7 linked regions of the Kluyveromyces lactis genome follow. The main gene of each other region encodes a partner of the protein of the gene in region 6 in a complex. Links are inferred from orthologs where the notes say so. Each region holds a gene or a part of one and is shown on either strand. Other genes may lie near its edges.

The links.
Region 1: CTI6 (region 6) and KLLA0_E19933g share a complex: the UniProt entries of both Saccharomyces cerevisiae proteins name them as parts of the RPD3C(L) complex. The link is inferred for Kluyveromyces lactis from reciprocal best matches to the Saccharomyces cerevisiae genes CTI6 and DOT6.
Region 2: CTI6 (region 6) and SDS3 share a complex: the UniProt entries of both Saccharomyces cerevisiae proteins name them as parts of the RPD3C(L) complex. The link is inferred for Kluyveromyces lactis from reciprocal best matches to the Saccharomyces cerevisiae genes CTI6 and SDS3.
Region 3: CTI6 (region 6) and SAP30 share a complex: the UniProt entries of both Saccharomyces cerevisiae proteins name them as parts of the RPD3C(L) complex. The link is inferred for Kluyveromyces lactis from reciprocal best matches to the Saccharomyces cerevisiae genes CTI6 and SAP30.
Region 4: CTI6 (region 6) and UME6 share a complex: the UniProt entries of both Saccharomyces cerevisiae proteins name them as parts of the RPD3C(L) complex. The link is inferred for Kluyveromyces lactis from reciprocal best matches to the Saccharomyces cerevisiae genes CTI6 and UME6.
Region 5: CTI6 (region 6) and RPD3 share a complex: the UniProt entries of both Saccharomyces cerevisiae proteins name them as parts of the RPD3C(L) complex. The link is inferred for Kluyveromyces lactis from reciprocal best matches to the Saccharomyces cerevisiae genes CTI6 and RPD3.
Region 7: CTI6 (region 6) and ASH1 share a complex: the UniProt entries of both Saccharomyces cerevisiae proteins name them as parts of the RPD3C(L) complex. The link is inferred for Kluyveromyces lactis from reciprocal best matches to the Saccharomyces cerevisiae genes CTI6 and ASH1.

What each region holds. Positions count from the first base shown.
Region 1 is NC_006041.1:1,773,789-1,778,175, forward strand, and holds KLLA0_E19933g (SANT/Myb-like DNA-binding domain-containing protein), read right to left. Parts: upstream 2,498-4,387; coding exon 746-2,497; downstream 1-745. Other genes in the region: SAS3 (histone acetyltransferase), read left to right, coding at 1-188; KLLA0_E19955g (3'-5'-exodeoxyribonuclease), read left to right, coding at 3,429-4,387. UniProt on the Saccharomyces cerevisiae protein: Component of the RPD3 histone deacetylase complex RPD3C(L) responsible for the deacetylation of lysine residues on the N-terminal part of the core histones (H2A, H2B, H3 and H4).
Region 2 is NC_006041.1:773,901-777,599, reverse strand, and holds SDS3 (Sds3p), read left to right. Parts: upstream 1-1,555; coding exon 1,556-2,515; downstream 2,516-3,699. Other genes in the region: DNA-binding transcription factor CRZ1, read right to left, coding at 1-595; KTR5 (putative mannosyltransferase), read left to right, coding at 2,950-3,699. UniProt on the Saccharomyces cerevisiae protein: Component of the RPD3C(L) histone deacetylase complex (HDAC) responsible for the deacetylation of lysine residues on the N-terminal part of the core histones (H2A, H2B, H3 and H4).
Region 3 is NC_006041.1:985,523-988,640, forward strand, and holds SAP30 (Sap30p), read right to left. Parts: upstream 1,602-3,118; coding exon 1,101-1,601; downstream 1-1,100. Other genes in the region: CUE1 (Cue1p), read right to left, coding at 1-656; KLLA0_E11243g (putative endodeoxyribonuclease), read right to left, coding at 1,829-2,803. UniProt on the Saccharomyces cerevisiae protein: Component of the RPD3C(L) histone deacetylase complex (HDAC) responsible for the deacetylation of lysine residues on the N-terminal part of the core histones (H2A, H2B, H3 and H4).
Region 4 is NC_006042.1:1,922,514-1,927,700, forward strand, and holds UME6 (DNA-binding transcriptional regulator UME6), read left to right. Parts: upstream 1-1,634; coding exon 1,635-3,998; downstream 3,999-5,187. Other genes in the region: KLLA0_F20658g (uncharacterized protein), read left to right, coding at 1-586; EBS1 (Ebs1p), read right to left, coding at 4,546-5,187. UniProt on the Saccharomyces cerevisiae protein: Component of the RPD3C(L) histone deacetylase complex (HDAC) responsible for the deacetylation of lysine residues on the N-terminal part of the core histones (H2A, H2B, H3 and H4).
Region 5 is NC_006041.1:185,000-189,041, reverse strand, and holds RPD3 (histone deacetylase RPD3), read left to right. Parts: upstream 1-1,566; coding exon 1,567-2,865; downstream 2,866-4,042. Other genes in the region: PEX6 (AAA family ATPase peroxin 6), read left to right, coding at 1-1,228; lumazine synthase RIB4, read left to right, coding at 3,351-3,854; NOP8 (Nop8p), read right to left, coding at 3,950-4,042. UniProt on the Saccharomyces cerevisiae protein: Catalytic component of the RPD3 histone deacetylase (HDAC) complexes RPD3C(L) and RPD3C(S) responsible for the deacetylation of lysine residues on the N-terminal part of the core histones (H2A, H2B, H3 and H4).
Region 6 is NC_006041.1:1,669,257-1,673,227, forward strand, and holds CTI6 (Cti6p), read left to right. Parts: upstream 1-1,666; coding exon 1,667-3,007; downstream 3,008-3,971. Other genes in the region: APM3 (Apm3p), read left to right, coding at 1-1,340; VPS45 (Vps45p), read right to left, coding at 3,085-3,971. UniProt on the Saccharomyces cerevisiae protein: Component of the RPD3C(L) histone deacetylase complex (HDAC). Responsible for the deacetylation of lysine residues on the N-terminal part of the core histones (H2A, H2B, H3 and H4).
Region 7 is NC_006038.1:231,654-235,876, forward strand, and holds ASH1 (DNA-binding transcription repressor ASH1), read left to right. Parts: upstream 1-1,899; coding exon 1,900-3,282; downstream 3,283-4,223. Other genes in the region: MTR2 (Mtr2p), read right to left, coding at 221-757; ornithine decarboxylase SPE1, read left to right, coding at 3,825-4,223. UniProt on the Saccharomyces cerevisiae protein: Component of the RPD3C(L) histone deacetylase complex (HDAC). Responsible for the deacetylation of lysine residues on the N-terminal part of the core histones (H2A, H2B, H3 and H4).

The sequences.
Region 1 (4,387 bases), about 100 kb from region 6:
TCTCGCTAGATGATGCAGAAGCTGAGGAGTATTCAGATGATGATGAAGATGATGATCAAGTGCCACCGCCTCCAGAGGAAATAGCGACTCCTAGGGTCAGTAGATCTCTAAGAAAACTCAGACAGCACAATCCCGTAGAAAATGAAGTTCAGCAAAGACCACAGAGAGTCTTACGGAATAGAGTTTGAATATTAATTAAAGGATAACCTAATCATAGTAATGCGTGGCCATGACATGTGTTTATGAGAAGAAAACTGATAATAGTGTAATATCTAATATATGCATGTATATATGTATATGATTGTAAGAATAGCGAAAATTAATGCCATCATTGATATAGCAGTAAAATGTAAATAACAAAACAACGTAATAGTACGCACTTTTCATTTAAGTGTTTATGCAAAAGGAGCAGCCCGTGTCCCTTTGCTATAATAAACTGAATAGGGACATTATTATGACAAAAAATAACCATATGGTACAGTTCAAATGATTTGGCATAAAGATAACACTGTAACAGTATTATTGATGTTCTATTGTAGTTATAGTACTTGTACAATGGGGTCATAATCAGGAAAGTGTGTGCGTTTATGTGATAGTAAATCAACGACAATGATGATTGAAGTAGCAGCGACTGGCGCCACGATACACTTCGGGGTTCATGTTCATACATGTCTGAAAGTGGTTTGTAAAGTAGTTTTTTAAGTTTTTGGTTCTTGATAATGGTATTAATACAGACAGTTTATCATCAAACAATGTGCTTGAATATCGTATTCAAACTAGGCAGTGGCTGAGTTGGCACTTGCGGTAGTCGATGGTTTTGTGGTGGTTGAGGAGATTGCGATGAATTCGGAGTGAACTGGGGCGTTTGTTCATTACTAGCCTGTGTTTGAAGAATTTGCTTCGGTACGCTGGCAGGCATCCTATTGCCATAAAAAGATGAGTTGTTCACATCAGAAATAGTTGGAGAATGGTCTCTCAAGGAATGAGCGTCCGGTGAAAACACTGGCGATCTCTCACGAGCGGAAGAACCAGTCGAAGATGTTTGAGAAAACGTAGGAGATTCATCTCTTAGCTGAGTTGGGGCAATAGAGTCTTCCATGCGGCCAACAATCTCTACATCAACATCAACATCGTCAATGTCGTCATGCTCCTCTACGGCAGTATCTGGTGAGTAAGTAGAGTGGACCTCATCTGAAGAACTCGATTGATTAACATTGGCGGAAGGACTAGCAGTACTAACTGCATCGCTAGGCGTTATATGTAACGAATCCATTCTCCATTGGATCTCTTGTTCTGATCTATGAGGTAACAAGATTGAAAGCTCATCAATGGACAAGTGGTACCTTTGACGTTTTTCTACCAACAACTTATCCTCATCGCCAGACCAAGGTTTTGCAAAGCCATTGAATGATCCAACGGCACATACGGATGAAGGAGGGGGTTGAGAGCTTTGTTTTATGGGCATATCAATGAAACCTGCTTGCATAGACTCACGTCTAAACTGAGAGACAGAGTTCCTTCTAGACATAGATGGATTCGTCGTGAAGCTTTCTCTCCTTGGATTCGCGGAAGATGCGGGCAAAGTTGATGAAGGCATGACAACAACGGAAGATCTTCTAGAAGATCCGTTAGAAGACATTGGGATGAAATGCCTGTCGGATGCTACGTTGAAAGAGGAACGTCTGGAGCGCGAGGAGAAGGAATTTTTCCTTGATTTCGTACTGGCCAGGTTTGGCAAGTTCGATTGTGGAGTGTTATTCACAACGACCGCGGAACCACGTCTACTCTTGATGAAGACTTTTGGAATAAAACCAAAATTTTCCTCTTGATCATTGAAATGGGGCATATTTGGTGGGGCGTCCTGTGAATGAGAGGAAGACCTGGGCTTTATAAATTTCCCATGAGGAGCAGGAGAAGCAGTAGAGAACGGAGACTTGGACAACGATCCGGAATGTGCAAGTCCGTTTACCGATAGGACACTAGATCCAGCTGTAGCAGCAGATGACGAAAAAACACCCATGTTGCTATTGTTATTATTAGTAGCACTCCCACTACCATTCAACCCATGAGGTGACGAAAGAACGGCACTATTGGTAACTTTTGAGGTCGGAATTGGCATGGGCATGGGCATCGGTCCCGTAGAACTAGACTTCTTTGCCGTATTCTTCTTCGCCGTCGAAGAGGACCCAGTGTTTAAAGATTCCGCGCTCAACGTAGGTCCTGCAGAAACAGCCATTGGAGCAAGTACTGGAACAGTCACATTTAACAACTCATCCTCCTCCTCATCCTCCTCCTCTGGCGACTTCACCGTCTTTAAACTGCCAGATTTTAACCTTCTCCACCGAAATTGGCACGCGTTAGGAGTTCTATTCGTAAAATACTGAGCAATATCCTTCCATCCCAGTCTTTTCACCTCTTTCAAGTGTCGCAACAAGACATCGTCCTGAGGTTCCCACGAACTCGGAGTCCTACTGGAAACGTTTTTTGGTGCAGTCATCTACCCTTTCACTTAAAAATATTGTGAGTTATAATTGTAAAGTATCAGCAACCAAAACAAAATCCACTATTTAGAGCAGTAAAACCAAAATTCAGCTCAAAAATTTTCGAAATGTAATCAAAACGACAGTAACAGCTTTCTAATAGCTCTAATTCTCTAGCTCAAAGACCTGTTCTCATTAACACAACGAGAGGGAATAAAAATTTTGAACGGTCCAAAATAAAACCGACAGTAGTTTATGAACGATTTTTCTTTTTAAACAACAAAAAATCGCCTTAAATTCCTTCCAAAATCGGCTAACAATAAACTAACGTATTGACAGTTATGCTCTGAGTCGATATCACTGAGGTCAGACTGAGTACTGAACCAATAAAGACAGGTTTCTGCCTAGGAAACAAAGAGTGTCAAGTTAAATGACAAGACTCGATGAGGTCGAGTTTAGTGGCTTTTTCTTCGTCGCGATGAGTTGGAAAAAAAAAAAATTTCGAATTTTTTCAGTGTGACAGCGATGAGATGAGGTGACAGGTGAGATGAGAAGAGATGAGATGTGATGTGAGTATACTGAGTGAGGGTCCTGTATCTTACCGTTCACGTGTCTTTTTTTGTTTTTTTCGTCTGTGTACTTCTTGCAAATGGGGTTCCCCGGTTGGTTTGGGACTGGTGCGTTAGTCTACGCCTTCGGAAAGCTATTGCAGTAGTGTGTAGAATGTGTCAAAATAAGCTTATGGGAGGTAGGGGGATGCACTCCGGGAGGTGATAAGTGCGTTGGTAGGCCATTGGATAGGCTTCGGAAGATACCCATTACACGATATTTTTGGACATCGTGTGGCATGTACGGTCTGTGAATGTTTCCATGCGGACTTGAGTCACAGAGTGGAGCTTAACCTTACATCCGGGTAACACTCGAAAATTCTGTACAAGCCATCTCACGATGCGCAAGAGGATATGCAACTCATCCCACTTCAGAACGATAAAAGGACTTCCTGTTTGTTTGGCATATTTTCGGTTCATTATGGCCATTGTATATCACTGTGAAACAGCTTCTACACTGTATATGTCCAGAGCACTTCAGAAGATGACAGGTTTGAAACAGATAAGGTACTTTGACATTGGGTTCAATATCTCTGATCACATGTTCAAAGGGAAATACCATGGCAAGAAGCAGCACGAGACGGATTTATCCAATATATTGAACCGTTGTAGATTGACTAATGTGGATAAGCTGCTGATTACCGGATCTTCACTGGAAGAATCGAGACATTCCATTAAGCTTTGTAGTGAATTTGCAACTGAAAATGGACCAAAGATGATGTACACCATCGGGGTGCATCCGTGTCAGGTTAACGAATTCATGCCCAAACACTCAAAATCGTACCGGAAATCAGATTCAAGCGAGGATCTTCCGTTTGCAATTGAAAACCATCAGTTTACCAAAGCTAGATTGCACGAATTGTATGATTTGTGGAAACTCCAAGCAATGACCGATAACGAGCATTTCAGGGCCATTGGTGAAATTGGGTTGGATTATGATAGATTCCATTTCTCGGGACTGGAAATCCAAAAGTTCTTCTTCCTGGAACAATTGAAGTTAAGTTGCTTCTTCCCTGATAAACCGTTGTTCTTACACATGAGAAGCTGTGCTGATGATTTCTTGCACATCTTGAAATTATTCATCAATGGTTTCAACGATGATAAGGATTTATTTGGCTATAAATCGTGGATCGATCCAAGCGTACCAGATTCACCAATATTGAATACAGACGGCTCTGTAACTTATAAGTTCAGTGCTGCGAGGAAATTTGTCGTTCACTCTTTCACAGGATCAGTACAAGATATGGAAATATTACTGGATTGCTCCCAAAATTGCTATTTCAGCGTCAACGGCTGTTC
Region 2 (3,699 bases), about 900 kb from region 6:
CATCGGATAAGTCTGAATGAACGCTAAGCAACTCATCCACATCGCTATCCAGAGCAAGGTACCCAGTACTTGGTGAGATTGCATCTGATGGGTAAATATATGGTGAGTTAGATGCCGACGACACAGTATCCAAATTGTCAGTCTCATTAGTGGACAAGGCAGGGAACAAAAAAGATGGATCTGTGTTTGGTATATTCAATTCATGTGACACATATTTATTAGCATTTCTACCGTTGTTACGGTTGACGCTAGGTGGCTGCTGAAGCTGGGCGTTACTTTTCACACTGCGATTAAGCATATCGTGAGCCAGGACACCATTTATACTAAGACTAGGGATTGAAGGTGCGTTTTTGTTATTATCACCAGTTTCTTTCGAAAAGGAATTCGCGACACTGAACCCAAACTCCTTAAAACCTGACAGTATATCACCACCGAAGTCAGACAGCTTGACACCACATTTCCTACTATTATTCATCGCATTGAAACCAGGCGCAACCTTCGACCCTCGAGAATTGTCAGAATCTTCCGGATTTAACAGTACATTCGCACCGATGTCACTGGGACTATCGACATTCAAATAATCGTCAATATCCATACTGTTCTCTCAGTCAAAAAAAAAAACAACAAAAACAACTCGGAATACAAGTCTCAAAGTCAGGTAATATTATATCCAAAGGGGAAACCAATATGTTTTTCGAAAACTCTGTTCTCTGTTCTTTCTTTCCTATGAACTGGAAAGACTGAAAAGAAGAGCTTTATAAAATCGACACACTTATAACGTCGAAATTTAAAGTATTAGAATATTAGGGGTAGTTCAAAGCACCGCAAAATTCAGCGATTTATCTGTACTAATAACACACAACACTGATGTGTATCACAGGCTGCGTACCACTGTTTTATCTCTGAATTAGTCTCACTATTTCACTTCTATTCACCTAACAAAAAAAAAATCACATCGTCATTATATTATAACTTAACTTACTTTTTTTTTTTTTGGGAATTTTCCCTTTTCTTTACCAAAATTGCCAAAAGTTCAAAGCCTTTAAAAACTTTCAACACACTTAAAGCCTGCACTTATACCGGCCAGCTTTAAGCTTTTCTTATCTGAAGCTGCGACTTTTCTGCGGGGAAATGAGATGGAAAACGGAACATAAAAAATTTAAAAAAGAAAATGGTGATACTTGCAATGAATAAATCAGTGTTATGGGAGCATTGAGGTTCGAACGGCAGAAGCATGGCATTTTCTTGTTTGTCTCATTTGATTATTATTATTTTTTTTTTTTTTTTTTTAAATCAGAGCAGCTTAAGCAGTTGTACTTTGTACATACTTTATACATAATTTGTACATAATTTGTACCCAGCTCATACGTTGCACGATACATGTAACGAGCAGCACATTAACTCGTTGTGTTAACGTTTTCAATTGTAATTTTTTATTCTGTGTTAGTAATTTCACAGGATAATTGGTAAGAAACGATACCGGAGAGTTTTTCTGGTTTCACTTTAACAATTATATCAGCTTTTGCAGTAAATACAGCTTCTCCCCCCGAGGAACATGGATGAAGTACAATATTCTATGATGAGCAGCGGTGTGAAGAAAGGTCAAGGAGCGAAACAGAATGGGGGTGCTATTCCCGCAGGTGTTGGGCAGGATTTGAGTAGGAAGGATAAGAAGCGATTACAGTTTGAAGGGAAAGTGGGAAAGATAAGAACGTCGTTTGCAAAGGATAAAGATGTGCATTATAGGGATAGGTTGACTCTGTTACAGACAGATTTAACGACGCTGCATCAGGGGAATAACCCTGAATTTCTGAGGAAATTGAGGGATCTTGAAGAAGATAGGGATTTGGAATTAGTTAGGCTCAGGCTTTTCGAAGAGTACCGGATTTACAGGTCCAAAGTAGAGTTCCAAGAAGATATTGAAAAAGCCAAGCAAGAACATGAAAGGATGATCAAATTGTGCAAAGAGATGTTGTATGAATCCCTACAGAAAACTATCAAGAAATTGCAAGAGGAACGGCTACTTCTGGATGTAGCAAACACACAGTCTTATTCGATGGATTATTCTCGAGGGAAATTCCAGAAGCAGACTAGAAGCTCAACTCAAAATTCAGCCAATTTTTCGGCTTGGGATTCGTCACCGAACGATGTCAGCCAAACAGAAAGTGGCAATGAGACTGGTAATACTACCGATAGGAGGTCATTGCGTAGGCGTGCTGCTACTAATCAGAATAGAGCTCAAACTCCTGCAAACATTACACCTGCAAACGGAAGCGGGAAATCAAGCAATACTAATAGCGATGCAGAGTCGATGCAATATCTGAGCGATTCATCAGAATTACAGGCTTTATTGTTCGGAAAGGAAAAGGAAAAGGAAAAGAAGATGGGTCGAGGTCACCAAAGACTTTCGACAAAAAGCGCTCCTATTCTTCAATCTTTAACTCCGGATGAGGTTACTGATGATATATCTTTGATAAGAAAGCTAACGGGCCAAGTACCAGCCCCATTCAAATGAATATCAATAGTTGGATTTATCTTGTAAATCTGGTCTGGGGTACAAGTGAAGAAACTAAAATGTTACCAGTTTTTTTTTTCTGTCATCCAATATTTCCCAAACTGCTTAGGTCCCAAATACTATCCGTTATTGTCAGTCTTATACCTTGTATTTTTAGTGTATCTCATGTGTAATACTACTACTTTATAATACTGCGTATTTTTTAATGTATGCACAAAAAAGTGAACAGAATCTGAATTTTGATATTTCAGTTATCTATTGACGATGATTTATGCGCAATACGCGATCCATTTATAAACATAAACTCAACAGTCGATTAAAGTACCAAGAATATTAGTATAAAACCTCATTCTTTCATCTTCAACTATTGGGACGTACACATTCATCTTTTCCACTTTTTTTTGCATGATTACTGATAGTTTCCATCTTATCTCATGAGGAATAGAACCAGAAAGCTACTGATAGTGATAACAATTGCACTTCTAATTTGTGTTGGTGTACACCATATTGTGCGAACGGAAGAAGCTGCAATATGGGAAGATGCTGTAGTCTACTCCTCAGCGGATCGCGCCTCTAAGAAGGAACATCCCTTCTTTGAAGGGTGTGTGGATACTGCAGAATATCTAAATCACAAAAAATATGAACGACAGAATGCCACATTTGTGATGTTAACAAGAAACGAGGAGCTGGATGGGGTAATTCACACTATGAGATCTGTGGAAAGAAGATTCAATCAATGGTTCCAATATCCGTACGTTTTTATGAACAACGAACCATTCACTGATGAATTTCAAGAAAGAGTCCGATCATTAACAACTGCCAACATAACGTTTGCCCTTGTAGATGAGTCCTCATGGAATTTCCCTAAGGAGAACACTCCACTATTTCAGCATTACGTTGAATCCCAGGGTGATCGTGGAATTATGTATGGGAATATGGTTTCATACCATAAGATGTGCAGATTTTATTCCGGACTCTTCTATAAACACCCTGCAGTTAGGCAATACGAGTGGTACTGGCGTATTGAACCAGATGTGGAATTCTTCTGTGATCTAACTTATGATCCATTCTTTGAAATGAAGAAGGCAGGAAAGAAATACGGTTTCACAATTTTTATCAAAGAAATATATTGGACTGTGCCGAACTTATTTAGAGCAACCAGAAGTTTCATCAAGCAAAACGAT
Region 3 (3,118 bases), about 680 kb from region 6:
CATTTCAGTAGAGACTGTAGGTATTCACTGTTTTCCACCTTTAGTTCCATACTCTTTCTTGCCTGCCATACCATTAATCTCTTTCTTTCTTCTATGGAAAGATCGTTGGGATTCAAGTTTGAAAGATCTTCTTGTGGATCCACGTTGAATTTTTTTAGCAGATTGTCAGCTTTAATGTTGGATCTTTTCCGTGGATCTGTAGATGTGCTATTGTTGTTTGTATTGTTTCCTGTAGTTACAGAGCTTCCGGTCGATTGATTTTGACCATTGGAAGAATTGCCACCTGTTTCAGATTCTGGGACGTAATCTGGTGGGAATGGCATATCTCTACCCGAGAGATATCTTTCTACAGTAGTTTCAACTGATCCGGTTTGTTCCAAGTCGTATCTGATCTGTTCTGGATGTAGATGTGGAGCCAAGGATTGTACCACTTCGATCATATCATCGTTGACTCTACGACGAATACGCCTTCTAGTCTGTCTTGAAGCGGCATTACTTGACGCGGCGGTACCTGAAGCCGTGGCAGAGTCTGATTGCGAAGAAAAACCATTGATTTGGATGGATGGATGTTGTTCGTTATTGCTCAAAAACCATTTCACAGCAATATAACCGGCAATAGCCAAAATGATAAATAATGTGAAACTTTGATCCGCCATGATTAAAGTTTTAATTCAGATACTCTATCTAACACAATAATTTCTGTCTGCTCTCAATATATTGCTGTGATATTAATTATTCTGGAGACAGGAAAACACAGTATGCCTGGTTATGGAGCAAATACTTGTCTTGTTACAGTTTTTACTTGTGAATGATAATTAATATCATTCATTTCTTATTAAAGAGAAAAATTGTGTAAACGACCTGTAAAGGAAAAAAATGTTAAAGAGCAGAAGGACGTGTGTACAGCTTGCTGTGCAATCTGTCCTTTTCACTGCAGTGCATATAATCAGCGTATAGAACGCTAGTTCCAAATAGATTTCCGTTGATATCCTTGATTATTACGTTCTATATTATTCATATATGTTACAAATAGATGAAGCCATTAGGCTGATGTCGAATTACATGCCCAAGATGGAAGTGAGCTATGCAACACCACCGCTTCATCCCTTAAACTCCATTCTGAACTTCTTTTTCTGATTTTGTACTTTGTAAATAAACTGAGGAAGGCATTCCGCTTCTCGAACGGTATAGTTATCGAAGTGTTCCCTGACACCTTTCGCAAGCTCCTGCTTCGTAACCCTTGCATCTGGTACATTTTTCTGGTTTCGTTTCGCCGAGTAAGTATGTTTCCCAATCCTTGATCCTAGAAGGTACCCTTGTATTGATAGATTATCTGGAGATTTCAATTGGAACCTATCCTTATACCGCCTTAAAAATTCATCGGAGTATTGTTCGAAATCCATCGGATTTGGGAGCGGCTCATTCTTCGGATGATTGTTATGTATATGTTTCTTGTTCAAGTCCTTCAAGTATTGCTGTTGAGCACTCGAGAGTCTTTGTTTCACACTGGTCCTGGTCGATGCACCTGAAGTTGCATTGTTCGATGATTTGCCCTTAGATTCGGACTCTGAATTTGAGTTATTGTGTCCCCTTGGTGCCATGTCGTGTAAGATCCTTGTGACTGTACAGCACCCACTCTATTTGACACCTGAGATGGTATGGAGCAGTACATGGTAATGCCCTTTACCACCTGGACAAATGTTCAAAAAGATCAAAATTTTGTACTTAAGACACTTTTTTTTCTTAGATAAGTGGGAATAACTTGGAATTAGATATAGAGGATGACTACATTAAACAAAGAACATACATGCAGTCCCTGCGTCTCATCTCATTTACGTAAGAATCTATTGAAGTTTTGTAATACCGTGTCCATCGCCTTAGTCCTGGAAATGCCGTGAGCTCTTGAAATGGCGTCAAGAACGGAATCTAGCATCTGTCGTTGCTCTTGCGACGACACTGAATCCACAGAACAATCTGTCTCTGTCAAAATACACTGCAAGGGCAAACTCTTCAACAGCTCAGCACCAGAATCCCAGTCTTTCAAGTTGATCCAACACGAAACGCTAAAGAAAAGCCGTTCATGTGGGAAATTCGCCAGCCATAGCCGCACCGTATCCAATGTCCCAGTAAACGAGTGCAAACATATGTTCACCTCGCTATCCAATAATATTCTCTTGCAAATATCAAAAGTAGTACCTTGACATTTCACAGAATGGATCGAAACCGGCAACCCCCTTCCCTTTGCAACTTTTAATAACGTTTCAAATACCTGGATCTGATGTGCAAACTCTACCCTTACATTGCTTAAACTACTTCTTTCCAACGATGTCCCATTATTGCTCACGAGAAAGCCATTCTGAGGCAACCGAAAAACCTTGTCCAATCCGATCTCGCCAATACAACCCACACGAGAAACCCGCTCATCTGACAAGTAACTTGACAAATCTACTGGATCCGGCAATTGCTCTACCAATTCCATCAACTGTACCTCGTCTTTACATTTAAGACAATTCCTATAATGCCCTACCTTAGAAAGCGACCTATCTAACTGATATAAATGGCAATACCAGGGATGCACACCAAGACTAACATTGATTCCGGGACCTTCATCATCCAGTTGTTTCATTAGCAGCAGGGGCTCCAGTAATTCCCAGTCGTACACATTCGTGCTCATGACACACCGTTGGACATCACTTGCCGTTCCGGCAAGGGCCAGGTCCAAATTGCTTCTGATCTTATCGCATCCTACAGCATCCACCATAGTAGACACATGGCAATGTGCATCGACAAGACATGGAACCATTCTTGCCCCACAAAACCAAGCCCAATTACCACTCACCTGATAGCAGACTGGAACCCTAATTCCATAGCAATTGCCTTAATTGTCCCAATTCACCAATATGTTCCAAAGGTATACTTTTTGAATCACCTGGGACTCTTTCTATCGGAAAATCATGGAAATTGAGTTGCCGGAAAAACTATTGTTTTGGGGGCTCCCACAACCCCGTTTTCGGGCTGCCCCCAAAAAAAATTCCCAGATTTGCCTTTAAACATGTTTTCAACATCGGATTTCGCAAAGACTGAACCTTAAAAAGCAGACCAACTTATGTCCTGTCTA
Region 4 (5,187 bases), on a different chromosome or scaffold from region 6:
ATACGGTGTCATCATGGCAGCATGTTGTATGGCATGTTTCGTTACCGTGCTCTATGGTACCGGTGATGGTAACTTGGGTTCTGACTGTAACGATGCACTTGGTGAAACGTGTCACTTGGTTTTCAGAGGCCGTGCTGCAGCATTTGCAACAATGACTTGGTGTGCATTGATTTTAGCCTGGGAAGTTGTCGACATGAGAAGATCATTCTTCATGATGAACCCTGAAAGTGAAACACCATACACTCAAGTGTTCAAGGACATCTGGAGCAATCAATTCTTGTTTTGGTCCATTGTTGGTGGGTTCTGTTCCGTGTTCCCAGTGGTTTATATCCCAGTAATCAACGACAAAGTGTTCTTACATTACAATATCAGTTACGAATGGGGATTCGCAATCGGATTTAGTTTCGCATTCTGGGCAGGCGTTGAATTATACAAATATGGTAAGAGACATTACTTCGGCATCAAGGACAGAGTCGACAATCCAGAAAATGATTTAGAAAAGAGAGCAGTGCACGATCCGTTCGAACAATACACTACTTCCTTCTCCAGAATGAATACTTTTCACAACGACGAGAAGACTATCTGAAAGTTGAAAAGATGCAGGAATAAGCGGTGCTTTTTAATTATTTTTAATCTACAACTTATCTGGAACAAATGTATATTAGCAAATCCATATGATAAGTATCATCAATAATTTAATTTTTATAAATACCATACTACATTAACAAAAGTAGTTTATCTCACTTTAGATCGATTTTACTCTAGTTTCCCGTCAAAACTCTTTATATTTGGCCTGAATCGATTAAGACTTTGGGCCCAAAAGTTACTAAGCCGGAACAACTGATTATGACCGGGTAATACATGGTCTTTACTCTTTTCAAATCTTTTTCTCCCTTTCCAGCGTGTAAAATAGTTTCAAGACAATTTTCGTCAAGCGATACGCCCAATGGATAAGAAAAGTCAAAAACAGTCAAAAATTATTCCCACGGGTAATTAAAGAAACCCACCATCTTAGCGGGCTACATATGTAATCAGCTACTGTATAACAGCAGTGCACCTTACAAACTTCAGATATCCTACTAAAAACAAAAAACCGAGAAGCAAAGCAAGGTCAATGAGCTTGCTTAGATGGCTAGTACCATTGCCGTTCCCTTTTTTCTTCCCTTTTCTCCCTTCTGATTCGTTTTCTGCGCTTGTTTTCCTGTAGTTTTTCGCTCAAAAAAAGGCAAAAAAACGCCTAATTGAATCTCGTTCGAAAATCACATCCAAGGCGTTGTTTATTTATTTATATAAATCGAATTTTACAAATGTTTGATTTCTCTTACTTGTTTTAGTTTATTGTAATATACTCTACTTTATTTTTTTATTCTTTATGAATGCTTACATTCATTGAAACCGCGATCCTCTATGAATTGACAGGCTTCTGGTTCAATCTCTCTTACTAATTACGAACCCGCTCATTCCGTAGCTCCTGGCTTAATACCTGATTGTGTTTAGTTTCAAGAGTCTTATAAGGGGGTGAGGAGAGAATCGGTTTTTTTTTAACTCAAGAGTAACACAAACTCTTGGCGCTAAGCGCTGGCCTGAAACTTAGACTGAAGTTTTCTTCAAATATAAAAGAACCTTCGGAATAGATGGTTCGTCAGAAAAGTCAAATTGAGCGGCGTGCTGTGAACTCTGTTCGTTTATCCTCCTCTTCTCCGTTATCTTCCAAAATGCATGTGCCGGAGAAAAGTACCCCGCCAAGTTACCCTGACGAACATTCAAAAACAAACGCCGCCCAAGTGGAGCTAACCGCCCAGCGGGAAGTGACCAAAATTGATGAAAAACAAGAAAACGAAAAACAACAACGAGTGAAAACAGGTGAAAAACAAACGCTGCTGCGACATACACCAAGGCTCAACCCCTTGATACATTTAGCGATGTCTCCTACTGCTGCTCCGAATAATACGCCTGTGGAGGAAAACGATCTACAACAGGGTGTTATCTCTCCTTCACGTGGAGAGCCTTCCGGGATTCCAGGGACAAAGCCTCAAACCGAGGTTTTGCCGCCACTTCCTCGTTACGGAGAGACTAAGCAAGAGGAAAAGGAGGTTGCCGTGAAATTTGAGAAAAAAACGGGTACCCAAGACTTTGATCACGTGGTTTCGGCTGATAAACAACATGTTCCAAAAATAAATACGCGTACACCATCTATCTGTATATCCAGTAGCAATACGCTGCCGAACACTGGGAAAGGGAGTAGCACCTTATATCAAGACTCGCGCACTCCCGTGTATTTGTTCAACGATAGGATAGACTCTGGTCAAGTGAGTGAAACAGAAACACTTCACGATTCAAGAAAGGGCGAGGAAATTCAAGCTGATACTGGTAGTCATCAAAATGAACGCATGCTGCGACAAAGCGGACATAGACTCGAAGGCAAAAAGGGCAATGGCAGAAACATTGGTAATCCTGGAACTGTTTCACATGACGGTGCGAGCGGTATTGCTGCGCCTTCATCTTCGCCGATCCTTGAGACCTCGAGCGCTTCCCGTGATAGAGATCTGCATGCCACAGGAAGCGCCATGACTCCAAAAAGACTACATTTTGATTGTTCCACAGAGAAAATAGATCCGGGTGCAGGCATCTCATCAATTTCAGCTCAAAAGATCAATATTACTTCATTACTAAACTCGAGATCGACAGCAGAATCAATCTCGCCCCCTCCATCTACGGCAGGAAATGAATACACTATTCATTTCCCATCCTCAGCAGCGTCAAATCCTCCTCACTCCACAGGATCCTTCCTACATCCAAAATATCAAAATCAAAACCCGCAGGTCTCATCTACCATGAATAGAATTGTTTCTCCAACCTATATGTTCGAAACCGATCAGGTTCATGGTCCTTTCAGTAATTCTAGTAGTGGCAGTAATAGTAGTGGCAGTAATAACGGTAGCACAGCAAACAGTAATAACAATAATACACATATTACCTACCAACCGAAGTATTTCAACACAAAATTCGATGAGTTAAGGAATAGAGTGTTATTAGGATCCTCAAACGCTTTTCCGAAAGTAGAGTCGGCTAACAAGTATCCATATAATAGCACAATGGTCAACCCAACTTTGAATGATCAAGATTCCAACGTGGATGCGGAAGCTGCCGCAATCATTTCTCAGATGAGGTCTTCCCCATTACCCCCATTTAACGAACAGTTCGGCTCTGGCAATCATGATAGCCGACCGAATTCGTCATTATCAAACCAATCTCTCCAAAATAATGCCTTTAATCCGTTCTCCAAAAGACTTTTACCTAAGCCAGTGCTTCGGGTTAACCAACGACCATTGACTGGCAACCAGGATGAACTCGTTATAATGGAAGAAGAGGATGATGATGATGACGGGTATGGCGATGGTGATTACGAAATGACCGAAGGGGGATCAAAGGCACCAGAAACTGTTGCATGGAATAAGAATGGAAAAAGAAGATTGTCCAGAAGAAGATCAGGCCCACCACATTATCAATCTCAATTGACAGGAATTAAAAATGAGATTGGAGACCATCCAGATACTACGGCATACCCCGCTGCGGATATCTCGGAAAATGGTATGCATATAAAAAGATCAAGGTCTTCATCATTATCTACTGAACACACTGGATTATTGTCACCGAATTCCAAACATGCCAAACAACTGAAGTTTAAAGAATCTAATTACAATAATGATGTTTCTAACGAGCAAATGGTCAAATCAAGTGATCAAATAAAGAAAAGAAATGCTACGGGGGCACGGTCAAGAACTGGCTGCTGGATCTGTAGATTGCGTAAGAAGAAATGTACAGAAGAGAAACCGCAATGCCAGAACTGCGTGAGGTTGCACCTCGAATGCTTTTACGACATAGTAAAACCCGATTTTATTTCAGATCCTGCTAAAAAGGCAGCAAAACTCGAAGAAATTAAAAAGAAAACAAAAGAAGCTAAGAGACAAGCAATGAAAAAGAAGACTTGGTTATAATCAAAGAGACAATCATCTCTAAATTCTTCTCAGACACACATCTGTATCATCAGGTGTTCTCAGTTTTTTTACAATAATGGACAACCCCTCAAAACTCTATAGATACCATTTTTGACTGAACTTTTATGATTATGTTCACCTCCCAATATATAATATACTCAGATATATTTGCTGTAATAAATGTGTAGACTGACTTTAATATACAATGTATGAATTGTACGTATTTTAAGCACAAAGCTTAGGGAATAGTATGGAAATGATTTCAAAAGACAACGTAGTTCAATATTTAAACTTTATGCTGCTTTCAAAGGAGGATTGAGATGATATGAGGATCAACAAAATAAAATAAGATAAAATAAAAGAACATACAAAATATAGACACATACATTACAACCAAAATTTGGAATAATTAAGATAAAATTTAAAAAAGTGTCGTTTCAGTAACTAAGGAATAGAGAAAAACAAGGCGTTAAAAATAATTATATGTGAATCACTTCAGTACATGAAAGGTAAACACATTTTTCAATCCGAGAACTATTATTTTGCGCTATGAATAAAAGAAAAAGTTGAATTGATCATCAGCCTTTTCAGCCATTGAAGGCAAACGATCCCCTGCAATGGAGACATTGTTATTGGGAAAGAATTGAGAGTCCCTTCTGATATTAGTTGAATTCTGAGGATGGTTTTCTTGATTTTGCAAGTTGTCAAATTGTGGTGAGAACGAAGTGAATGGATTATGGAATTGGGCATATTGGGAGCCCATATATGTTCTCTGTTGAGCTTGTTCGTACAGACCAGCGGAGTTGTTCGCCTGGGATGACATAACAACACTGTCCCTGGCAAATATACTTATTTGAGAATCATGCGAAGCGTTCTGTAAATAGTTGAAAGTGGACAGATTCTGGACATTAAGTTTAGGAGCTTCATTAAGGCCGTTACTATTTTCTCTGGAATCAGTAGAACTGCCATTGGTGTTAGTGGAAGACAGTGGTATCGAAGAGGACGAACTTTGAACATGGATAGATGAAAAAGGAGATGAAACAGAGCCATTGCTAGTATTTGTGCTAGCACTGTTGTTGCCGTGATTTGACATCTCGGTCCTATTGTACAAACTGAAAGATTTTTCATTCTCACTTCTTTCAACTGTGGTTGAGACGGAAAATGATGGCGTGACATTAAAACTCAGTGG
Region 5 (4,042 bases), about 1.5 Mb from region 6:
TGAAATTGATGTACCAGTGCCAACTGAAAAGCAAAGGTTACAAATGTTTCGATGGTATTTTGACCCGTATGTTTTGAACAGCCAAACTCCAAAACTGAGGTCACTAATATCGCATAATGTTCCATTGCAGACAGTATCTGTTCAATCGGCTGGTTTGACTCCAATGGATATACGATCAATCGTCAAAGCTGTCAAGTACAAATGTTACCAACGTCTAAAGCAGAACGACCTTCTAATTGATATGACCGATATAACTGCAGTCATAAATATTGCAAGAGATAGATTCTCAGACTCTATCGGAGCTCCTAAAATTCCTAACGTGACTTGGGATGATATTGGTGGGATGGATGTGGTCAAAGGAGAAATCATGGATACCATAGATATGCCACTCAAGCACCCTGAACTATTTTCATCTGGTATGAAAAAGAGAAGTGGTATTCTTTTCTATGGACCTCCTGGGACTGGTAAAACCTTGTTAGCGAAGGCAATTGCGTCTAACTTCTCTTTAAATTTTTTCAGTGTTAAAGGGCCTGAACTTCTTAACATGTACATTGGTGAATCCGAGGCAAATGTTAGACGTGTCTTCCAGAAAGCAAGAGATGCTAAGCCATGTGTCATTTTTTTCGATGAACTTGATTCCGTGGCACCAAAGAGAGGAAATCAGGGAGATTCTGGGGGTGTTATGGATCGTATTGTGTCTCAACTTTTGGCAGAACTAGACGGAATGAGTTCAGGAGGAGACGGAGTGTTCGTAATTGGAGCTACGAATAGGCCAGATCTTCTTGATGAAGCATTATTACGTCCCGGTAGGTTTGACAAGATGTTATATTTGGGGATATCAGATACCGATAAAAAACAGGCAAATATCATCAAGGCTTTGACGAGAAAGTTCACACTAGAATCTGGTATCGATATACTAGATATTGCCAAAAAATGTCCGTTCAACTATACAGGTGCAGATTTCTACGCATTGTGTTCTGATGCCCTTTTAAACGCTATGACTAGAGTTGCTGGTGAAGTTGATGAAAAGTGGGAGAAGTATAACATGGAAAATAAAAAGAATATATCATTGAGGTATTGGTTTGATAACGTGGCAAACGAGAATGACTTGAAGGTCGTGGTAAAATTACAAGACTTCGAGCTTGCTCAACAGAATCTAATACCAAGTGTTTCTGAGGATGAATTAAGACATTACTTGAGATTAAAGAGTAGTTTCGAATCTCAATGATCGTTAATAAGTAATCATATCGAATATTATTATAAATCATATATAACAAATATATTAACTCATCCATGCAGGATGATCTGGTCAGTAAAAAGTTGGTCTACTTCTTAATCTTCTTCAACTCGTGTAACATGACAGATCTCTTTAAGGCTTTTCTTCTTTCTTTAGCTGCTTGGAAATTCTATATTGATGGAGACGGTGAAAAATGAAGGTAGTGATTTCTATTAAAACCTTGATTTATGTCGAAAACATACCAAGAAAGCTATATAAACAAGAGGTGAAAAATTTGTACCGGCTCTCCAACTTAGCGAAACTATTAAGATTAATTGTGCGTGGACGGTATGGTATACGAAGCTAAACCTTTTGACCCGATAACGGTGAAGGCTAACGAGAAGAAGCGAGTTGCATACTTTTATGATGCTGATGTGGGAAACTATGCTTATGGTGCAGGACATCCTATGAAACCACATAGAATAAGAATGACACATTCGTTGATTATGAATTACGGTTTGTATAAGAAGATGGAAATTTACAGGGCTAAACCTGCAACGAAACAGGAGATGTGTCAGTTCCATACCGATGAATATATTGATTTCTTGTCTCGAGTCACTCCAGATAATTTAGATATGTTCCAAAAGGAGAGTGTGAAATTCAACGTTGGAGACGATTGTCCTGTGTTTGATGGTTTGTACGAGTACTGTAGTATATCTGGAGGTGGTTCTATGGAGGGTGCAGCCAGATTAAACCGAGGCAAATGTGATGTTGCCATTAACTATGCTGGTGGTTTACATCATGCCAAAAAATCGGAAGCTTCAGGGTTCTGTTACTTGAACGATATAGTGCTAGGTATCATCGAGTTGTTAAGGTACCATCCTCGTGTTCTTTATATTGATATTGATGTGCATCACGGTGATGGTGTAGAAGAAGCTTTTTATACTACGGATCGAGTTATGACATGTTCTTTCCATAAATATGGGGAATTCTTCCCAGGTACTGGTGAATTGAGAGATACTGGTGTCGGGAAAGGTAAATACTATGCTGTGAATGTCCCATTAAGGGACGGTATTGACGATGCCACTTACAAATCGGTATTTGAACCAGTCATAGGTAAAATTATGGAATGGTACCAACCTTCTGCCGTGGTACTCCAATGCGGTGGTGACTCTTTATCCGGCGATCGTTTAGGTTGTTTCAACCTTTCAATGAAGGGTCACGCAAACTGTGTCAACTACATGAAATCGTTCGGTGTTCCTCTCATGATTGTTGGTGGTGGTGGTTATACAATGCGAAACGTGGCTCGTACATGGGCTTTCGAAACGGGTATTCTGAATAATGTGATTTTGGATGAAGAACTTCCTTACAACGATTACTACGAATATTATGGCCCTGATTACAAATTGGATGTCAGACCATCTAATATGTATAACGTCAATACACCGGAGTATTTGGATAAAGTGCTACTTAATATTTTCAGCAATCTAGAGCATACTAAATATGCCCCAAGCGTTCAACTCAATCACGTTCCTCGCGATGCGGAGGACAAAGGTGACGCCGAAGAAGATACTGCAGCTGCGAAGGACACTAGAGGAGGTTCTCAGTATGCAAGAGACATAACCATTGAGAATGCAACCGAATTTTAGCCAGAAAACAAAAACAGATGATCTTTTATTATTTACTGTATTATAATATATTTACACTTAGAAGTACTCTTCCGCATTTGCTACAGGTTTTATCGTCACTCACCTAATCACTGTTATATGTCATTCATCCGACGGTTAATATGATGCTGAATATACAGATTGGTGCCCAAGTTAGAATTGATCTAATGAGGTCAATTTTCTATCGTGTTTTCCCTCCGTCAGTATCGGTATTTGCCATAATTTTCCACGTAATACTATTCCAGTTCAGATATGACTTACATCTGCACTTCGGTTGTCAGTAACAAATCTATATATGAAAAAGATCAAAAAATGAAAATCCAGAAGCGAATGGATATTTAAAAGTTAAGATCAGATAGGTCGATTACACAAGAATAAAGCTTATCCTATTTCATATAGAGATATATATTATCTGATAGTAGATACGTTGTATCTAAACATTCAAATCACAGTTAGTAAATTTTGCAATGGCTGTTAAAGGTTTGGGTCAATTGGATCAAGTTTATGATGGTTCTAACTTGAGAATTGGTATCGTTTACGCTCGTTGGAACAGAACAATTATCGATGCTTTGGTAGAAGGTGCCATTAAGAGACTTCAGTCCTTAGGTGTTAAGGAAGAAAACATTATTCTTGAATCCGTTCCAGGTTCTTTTGAACTACCATGGGGCGTTGAAAGGTTTGTTCAAAAAGAATTTGAAAAAGGTCATCGTTTAGATGCTGTTATCCCTATCGGTGTCTTGATCAAAGGCAGTACGATGCATTTTGAGTACATCTCAGACTCTACTACCAATGCTATTATGAGTCTTTCTAGTAAATTGAACACACCAGTCATTTTCGGTTTATTAACTTGCTTGACTGAAGAGCAAGCGTTGGCAAGGGCTGGAATCGATGAAGGAAAGACTATGCACAACCATGGTGAAGATTGGGGCGCTGCTGCCGTAGAAATGGCTGTAAAGTTTGGTTATAACTAGAAATGCAGTATTATTATATATTTGTCTATATGAAAAGTTATATTGAACGCACTTATAATCAACTCAAAGCACGGCACGTTGGAATGCTACAAAATTTAGATTAGTACGGTATTTCCGTGATATTTGTCCCTTCTTTTTTTGATTTGTCTCACTACATCTCTCTTCCTTTGTTTCATCTCTTTAGTCCA
Region 6 (3,971 bases):
AGTTGAAGCTTTGCAGACACGTTTCTTTGCTGAATCCAGTTGTTTATTGGTGTTTAATTTCGTGTTCAGAGTCCACAGTTTCCGTGGTATCTTTGTTAGAAGAGATAGATTTACTGTTGTTACAATATTTCGATAAGGACCAATTAACGAAGCAGAAGATAAATAATAACCTCGATCGATTATCGATGCTTTTCCATTGTATCCTTGATGCTGGGCAACCGGTGATAACAGACTCGAACCGTTTAAAGGCAATGGTCCCAAGTAGAAACGATTTATCGAAATTGTTGAAGACGACAACCAATACAATTACCAAGACCTTACAACAACCGGACGGGTCAATGTTTAAGAATGGTCCGGAAAAATCAAGGTTTAGTGGCAGTAGATATCCATCTTCATCCGCTTCATCCGTTTCCTCGTTCCACGTTGGGTCTCCTGGCTCCTCGTTAGTTGATCATTCCGTTGATGAATCTGGTGTCCCATGGAGAATGAGCGGCATCAACTATGCTAATAACGAAATATTCATCGATATGAGTGAGGAAATTAACGCTATTGTGGAAAAGGGGAAACTGTTAACCGGACATATCAAGGGTTGTATCGACTTAAACAACCATCTCAGCGGACAGCCATTGGTTGAGATGAAACTTGGGCTCTTAGACCACAAGCTTAGCCACTTAAACACGACTTTCCATAGATGCATCTTAGAGGATAAGGCGAACAGCATAAATGATTTAATCGCTGGGAAATTCACTAAGCTAACGTTTGTACCTCCTGATGGACGTACTAGGCTCTGTCAATATACCCTACCGTTGGTGAAAAGAGACTCAAACCTCGGCATTATAGACGTAAATTTACAAAGCAGTTTAGGTAAAAGACTTGACGAATTTGAGGTCCGCGTCACCGTTGGAATGAGCACGACGGTGAAAGAAATAGAAAACATGAGCATGACTATCAGGATGAATAGAAATTTTAAGGGAATAGTACGTGTCATGAGAAACACTCACGGCGGTGTCGAAACAAATATGACTCGTGGCGAAGTTAATTGGCATTTGGACAAAAACATGGTATGCGGTTCAATGGCTGTACTACGTTGTATAGCGGAACTGGAACCCGAACTCGCCTCCAATGACCAAACATCTAGTAGATCTTCGGTTGTTCAACCACCTAGTTCACACTTAACATCCTTACTACAACCTAGTTTCATCAAATGTTACTACGAACACAAATCCCAGCTTCCCTCCGGAATCAAACTTCAATCAATCGACGTAGTTAATGGAGGTCCAAAAAAACCGTTCAAAGGTGTTAAGTACCTCACAAAGACTGGTTCGCTAGAGTATAGGTGATGATACGTTAAATGGTTTATATATATGTATGTATGTATTTATGTATGTGTTTGGATCACGTGATATTTTTGTTTTATGTACTTTTCGAACGAGGAAAAAGTGTTCCAACTGATTAAAGACTTAAAAGGAATAAGTAGAGCCACCTTGGATAACAGATGTTTTAAAGTTTCTATGTATGCAATGCGGAGGGCAAGAGTGAATTCCAGAAGTTTCAGGGCTGTTCTATAGTGCCATTTTTACTGATCTCGACATAGAGCGGTTAATTTGGGCGATTTGCAGCTGATATTTGACGAATAATCGAGAAGAGGGGATCTTGAATCATAGCAATGAAGCGAGAAACGAGGGACCGTGGAAGGACGGACCTTGCACCAGAGAAGTATGTAGAGGACTCTGATCCAGAGCCTGAGGATGAAGGTGAGACTCGGTGTATTTGTGGGAAAATTGAACCGCCAGATGATTCGGGTCTTTATATTCAATGTGAACAATGCCATGTTTGGCAACATGGATATTGTGTGGGCATATCTGAGGAGGAAACTCCGGATAAGTATTGGTGCGAGCAGTGTAAACCAGAGCTACACTCGCTCTACACAACGGATCTTGGTGAGAAGAGGTCAATATACAAGCCAATTCAGCAACGCCGTAGGAAAAATAGAAGGTCGAAAAGAAACTCCGAATCGGATGGAGAAGTATCAAACGCTGGAAGTTCACTAGAGAACCAATCTCCTTCTAGCTCAGTGGTTAGTGGAAATATTGGATCTCAAAGATTATCTCGGCAAAGGAGAAATAGTAGTAATGTTGAATTATCGAAGGATGAAGGTGAAGATTCTATTGCGGACTCCGGAAATGGTGAAGATAAGGATGAAAATATTCCCAAGCGCGAGTTTGATCCAATTGATGAAAATCAAAAGGTTGCAGATCGTAAACGTGCTACATCCAGTGCCAGGGAAGAGAAACATTATCAACTTATGCTAGAGAAAGCCCTACGCGAAAGCAGACGCTCTTCAAAAGATGGCACCGATCCCGAAGACCAAGATATTTTGAAGGAAGAAGAGGCATCAGGGAAGTCCGCCTCACCAAAGAATTACACTAGAGATACGGAATCTCCAGAAGTGGAAGGATCTGAAGCTGATGAAGCAGCTAGTCAATCAAGAAAACGAGCTAGAACGACAACAAAATCTACATCGCCATCAGGTTCCGAAGATGACTCCAAATCAAAAAGATCAAGAAGAGGTAAGAGCAATGGTTCAACCACGCAAAGTAACTCAAGGATTTACAAGACCTCAAGTGGAAGAGTTGCAAGGAATTCTAAAGCTAGCAGCTCAAAAGGATCGGGTTCCTCTGGAAGTTCAAACTTGTCGAAATCTAATGGACAATCTAATGATATCGGAATCAACAAGCCTCTAAAACCCAGGATTCCCTCTCAGAGGACCACTATGCATGAAATGAGAAGAAGAGTTAACGCTATTCTGGAATTTATCTCAAGGACACAGTTAGAAATATCTAATGACCAACGTCAACGGGATCAGTTGTGCCAGTTTGTGGAAAACGAAGAATTCCTGGAAAATATTAATAAAATATTCTCCAGTTACGACGAATCCTTCAAAACGATGGATGAGCTAACGAGGAAATTACTGCTTTGGGAGCAAAAGTTTAGTCCAGCTTCTTAAAAGCATGATAGAGAGTGTTCTTTTCTTGTTTCATACATTTCCTTACCTAATTCTACATCTGAAGTACATACGTAAGTTCATAATAAGTCAACTGGTTTATCATTAACGGCGCAAACATCTGTTAAAAATTGCTCTGTAGAAATAATCGAGGTTCCTCCAATGATAACTCTGCAATTGTCCTTATTTTTACTCTGTTTCTCATTGAATTGATGTACTGCGCGCGCTTCTTCTATAGTGAGGCCTCCGACGATCAATATAACAACATCTTGTGGCATATATGTCTTAGGGTCAATATTTTGGTTTAAAAGAGTCACTCCCTCTTGTGGGAACTTGTTTTTATCCAAATCGCTGAGAAGTGTTGTCAATTCAGGAACATGTTGCATAAACACATTTTCAGCGCTGGTGCTGCCTAATCTGTTGAATTTCTTGGTTAATCCACTAATCAAATCATTGTCCTGAGGAGCTTTGTGTTTATTGAATATTGACCCAAATCTCTGTTTAAATTGAAAGTAAAGAGAAATTTGTGTGGGATCACACTGTTGTCTTAGAATATTCTCCAACTCAGAAACTCTAGATTCGTTCTTGCCGTGTCGTAGAACAAAAATGCAGCATAATTTTAATTTGTAATATGATTCTAAGGTTGGTAAGTTTAGAATTCTCTTCAGTTCTACAAAGTCATCGTTATTGTCATCATGTGAAGAGAGGTTTTGCTCTAGCTCACTGACTTCCCATATATTCTTCAGTTGTAATTGCCTATCTAATTCACTAACAATGGCCATATGTTTTGAAATGTTGCCTGAGAGTTTCTTAAATTCGGGGAACTTTTCGATGAACTCTTTAATATCTTCTATCGTATTGATTTGTTTGGTAATGTTGGTCTTATTTTTATACTGAGTAACATAGTTCTTCACCTTATCTGCCAAATCACCAAAATTCATATACATTGTTTCTTTGAAGAACTTAT
Region 7 (4,223 bases), on a different chromosome or scaffold from region 6:
GGTCCGAACTCAACAAAAACGTTTCACACCGGTGTTTCCTGGTCGTGCATATACGACGGAAGAACTTCGAAAGGAAAACCAGAAAAACATGATCATACACGTGATCAGAATATTCCGTAGTTCCTTGGGCCTCTCAACACTGCTAAAATGCACACTTCAATATTTTGATAGAACATATATATGGACATACACATTTCTATATGCTACCTACAACTAGCACTTATATGCTCATCAAAGAATCTGATGGTTTGAATACTATTGTGTAGTTCATGCTAGATATCACTCCGTTCAAGTCGTTAGTGAAAATCCGATCTTCAAGCACTAGCTGTAATGAGACACCATAGTAGGTACCCCATATAGGTCTTGGTTTATCCAGTGATCTACTATTAATCGATCCCTGACCTGGGCGGGACTGTGAATCCTGACTATTTGCTGGAACTGTGCTATCCTGGCCGTTCTTATCCTTCCCACTTTCGTCAAATCTAACTTTACAGTTCACATTGCATAGTAAGGTTCCGGTACCTGGTATCACATGGAAATCAACCGCGGTGATAACGTGCTGCGTCAGTACCACTCCAGTTTGCCATGCCTGAAGGAATTGCACTGCCTGTCCAAACGGTTGGGAATTGAATATTATTTTGCACTGATGTGGGTTAAATAGCTGTAGGAATTGTTCCAACTTTGCTGGATCGGGCTCATCTAGATGAGCCAGTACTTTCTTCACAAAAGTCTCCACGATTTGAGGTTGACGATTCATTTTGATAATATCAGTTGATGATGCTTTAAAGAGATTTGCTGATTTTTATTGAAGGCTTTGATAACGTTTACCTTAATACTATTAATTTCAACATCGATCAAAAATTTTATTATTAAATCTATGGAAAGAAGTCTTCTTCTCTCCAAATTTCATCTTGGGTAAATTCAATTGACTAGCTTCATCAAATGCGGGTAACAAACAATATATGTACGCGTTGTAATTTCCTTGATGATTTTAGGTAGACCCTGATTTCAAAATCTCTCAAATGAACACATGCAAACACAACTCTAAATGCTGATCGACTCGAGCAAATATCTAGCGTACATATTGTAGAGTCGGATTTTTCTTTTCCTTATGTCTCTTTTGCCAGCACTTTTGTCAAGCTGCCTCGCGCACTAGTATTCTTTTTTTTTTAAATTCTATTTTCTGCTTGCATATGTGAAGAAAGTGTAAACATGAAAAACCCAGCATCGAAATGTAAATCCATAATACCAGCCGAACAGATACCAAGACTTGGTGTGGAAAAATAAACATAAACAGAGATCTGAAAGCTAAGTGAACATCGCTGCGCGATTCCATTACATGATATATGATTTTGTAAACAATGGTTGACTAGTTTTGATCAATTTTATAGCCGGTAAGAGAAAAAGAAGTATATCTTTTGTCTTTCCCTTTAGTTTTGCAGGCATAGAACAAGTATGAATTCTTTTGCCAAATCGAAAAAAATTCGGTAAACCCTCTGCGGGTTTGGCGCAGGTATTCTTTGTTTACACTTTTTTCTGTTTCATCGATATATGGATTCCTACTAAGTTTGCGGGACTGAACTGATTGAAATTGGTTCAGTATCCCTAGAGTATATAAACCAGAATCCAAATCTGGGTTTCCATGGGACAATTCTTTCAGATCGATTGGAAAGATAATCCCCTTATTTTTACTGAATTAGGTATCGTGGTTGATATATGACAGTTCTAGCTAATCCTTATAAGGCCTGATATATTTCTTCACTCTTCAAACACTGGTCCTGACAACTGTGTTACACATCAATAATTTACTTCAATTAACACCGTAACTTGTTCCCCATTATAGAGCATCGAATCAGCTCATTTCCCATCGCTTCGACCTTTTCACTATTCAAGCTAACGATGTCCACTATTTCGAACCCTTTACCATTCACCAATCCTCACGCCGAGCAAAAGTTCTACGCAAGAAGAAAAAGATCCTTTGATGATCTATTATTGCCATCTTTAAGTACCAGTTTGAACGCCCCAATGACATTAGAAGAATCGCCATATTTCTTTGACGCCCGGAAAAAATCTAAAACGGCGCCAGCCTCACCTTCTGGATTCGTACAAATCACGCCTACTACATCACCAGTGTCCGCTTCATCTAATTCTTCCATATGGAGACAGACAGTATGTGAGGGAAGCAGCATTAGCAGCAACAGCAGTAACAATATTGGAAAATCAACTCAACTGCCTTCCTGTTCACAACTACAGAATGAGGTTGCGCAACCCTCGCAACCAGCACTACAACCATTAAAGCATCTAAAGTTATTGGCACATCCTAAAATACAAGAGTTTTCGTACCTCTATCCAGACACTTGTGCCTCCACGCCTCTATGGAGGCAAAACTTAACAGAGTGGTGTAAGGAAACTAATTACACTCAGTACCAAAACATTACAGATCAGGTATCTCAAGCTAATCCAAGAGCTGGTAATTTTACTCATGGATTAAATATTTTAGCCGATGCTGCTAGAATATCATCGATCAATACTTCACCAGATGAATTCTATCAACTTTCAAACACTTCAAGCTCCAGCAAAGTACTGGTAACCCCACCAAGTAGTCCTCCCAGACAATTCACTTCTATGATCAGCGAATCATTAGTTAAAGCGGTAAAGAAGAACCGTTCCTCAAAACATAAGAAGACCAACAGTTTTAAAGCAAGAAAACTGAAGAAGATGCTGGATCAACGCATATTGCTTACATATGAAGACAAATTCGAATCACAAAAGTCGGTATTTAAGGCTAATCCTGCACCACCAAAGACCCCTCCACAAAAGAAGATTACACTATCCACAACTCCAAAATCTCTTCAATCTCCCCAACAGAGATTTCATCCTATTGTGATCAACAGCGTGGAGGATTTCGGCGAAAAGACTTCGGCGAACTCCAACTCAGAAGACGACACCGACCAAGAGCTAGTCCAAACATCTCCCAAAAGCTCTCCAACACAAAGGCGTAACTCTCATAGATTTTGCGTTTCATGTCACATTACAGATTCCCCGTGTTGGAGACCTTCTTGGTCTAAAAGCAAACAAGATCAGCTTTGTAATTCTTGTGGGCTCCGTTATAAGAAGACCCATACAAGATGCACCAATGAAACTTGCCGTAAAATACCTTCAAAAGGTGAATTGACACTTATGAAATCAAACAAGCCAGTTTCGATTGAGGACGCTGACGGAAATACTGATTACAAAATAGCATGTTTGTTCTGCGGTCACGCCGTTGCTACTGACGAATAGGGCAGAAAAGCCTGATAAAAAAACCAACCTTCCTTGCATAATTAACTGATCCCAACTTTCAACGGAGCTTTTTACCTTCTAATATTGCATTTATAAATACTTACTTCTCTTTTCCCTTGTTTGTCCGGATAATATTTCCACTATTCCCTTTCCCTTCAATTCTAACTAATTTGATTAATATAATGATATAATCTAAACATATATTCTTCCTATAATTTATCTAATGTAGCGTAAATTAATATTTTCACACTTCTGATCTTTGAGCATCAATATCATAGGTTGATATTGATGACTGGCACTTAGTAGCTGCTTCAGACCTCTTCATAAAGTGAATGATTTTTTCTTTCTTTTCATTAATATGCCATTTACGTCAAGATCGATGTATGTTCGCTATCTGAAAATGAAAAAAAAAAAAAAAAAAAAAAAAAAAAACTTCATCAAAAATATAAATAACTGGAACCGTCAATATCTCATCACTTGCTTTCGTTTTGCTTTAATATCTGAGAAAGTACAGCCTAAGCACCTCATCAATACAGACAGTCATGAACTCCGTAGGACACATAGAGCGGCCAATATCTAATGATGTCACACAGGGCGTCTCATATAACCCAACTGTGGGATTGCCATTAAGTAAACAAGGCCAGTTACCACACCAACAGAGCCATCATAAAATCTTTGCTGCTTTGAAAGAGAAGATTGATTCTATAAATCATGAGACTTGCGATGCCGGAGATGAAAATTCATTCTTCGTTTGTGATTTAGGGGAGATAAGCAGATTGAGAAACTACTGGACTCAAATTCTTCCTCGAGTAACTCCATTTTATGCTGTCAAGTGTAATCCAAACATCGAAATAATAAAGAGATTGGCTTCAATGTCTACCAATTTCGATTGTGCTTCCAAATCCGAGATAGAGAAGGTGTTAGCATGTGGTGTCGATCCT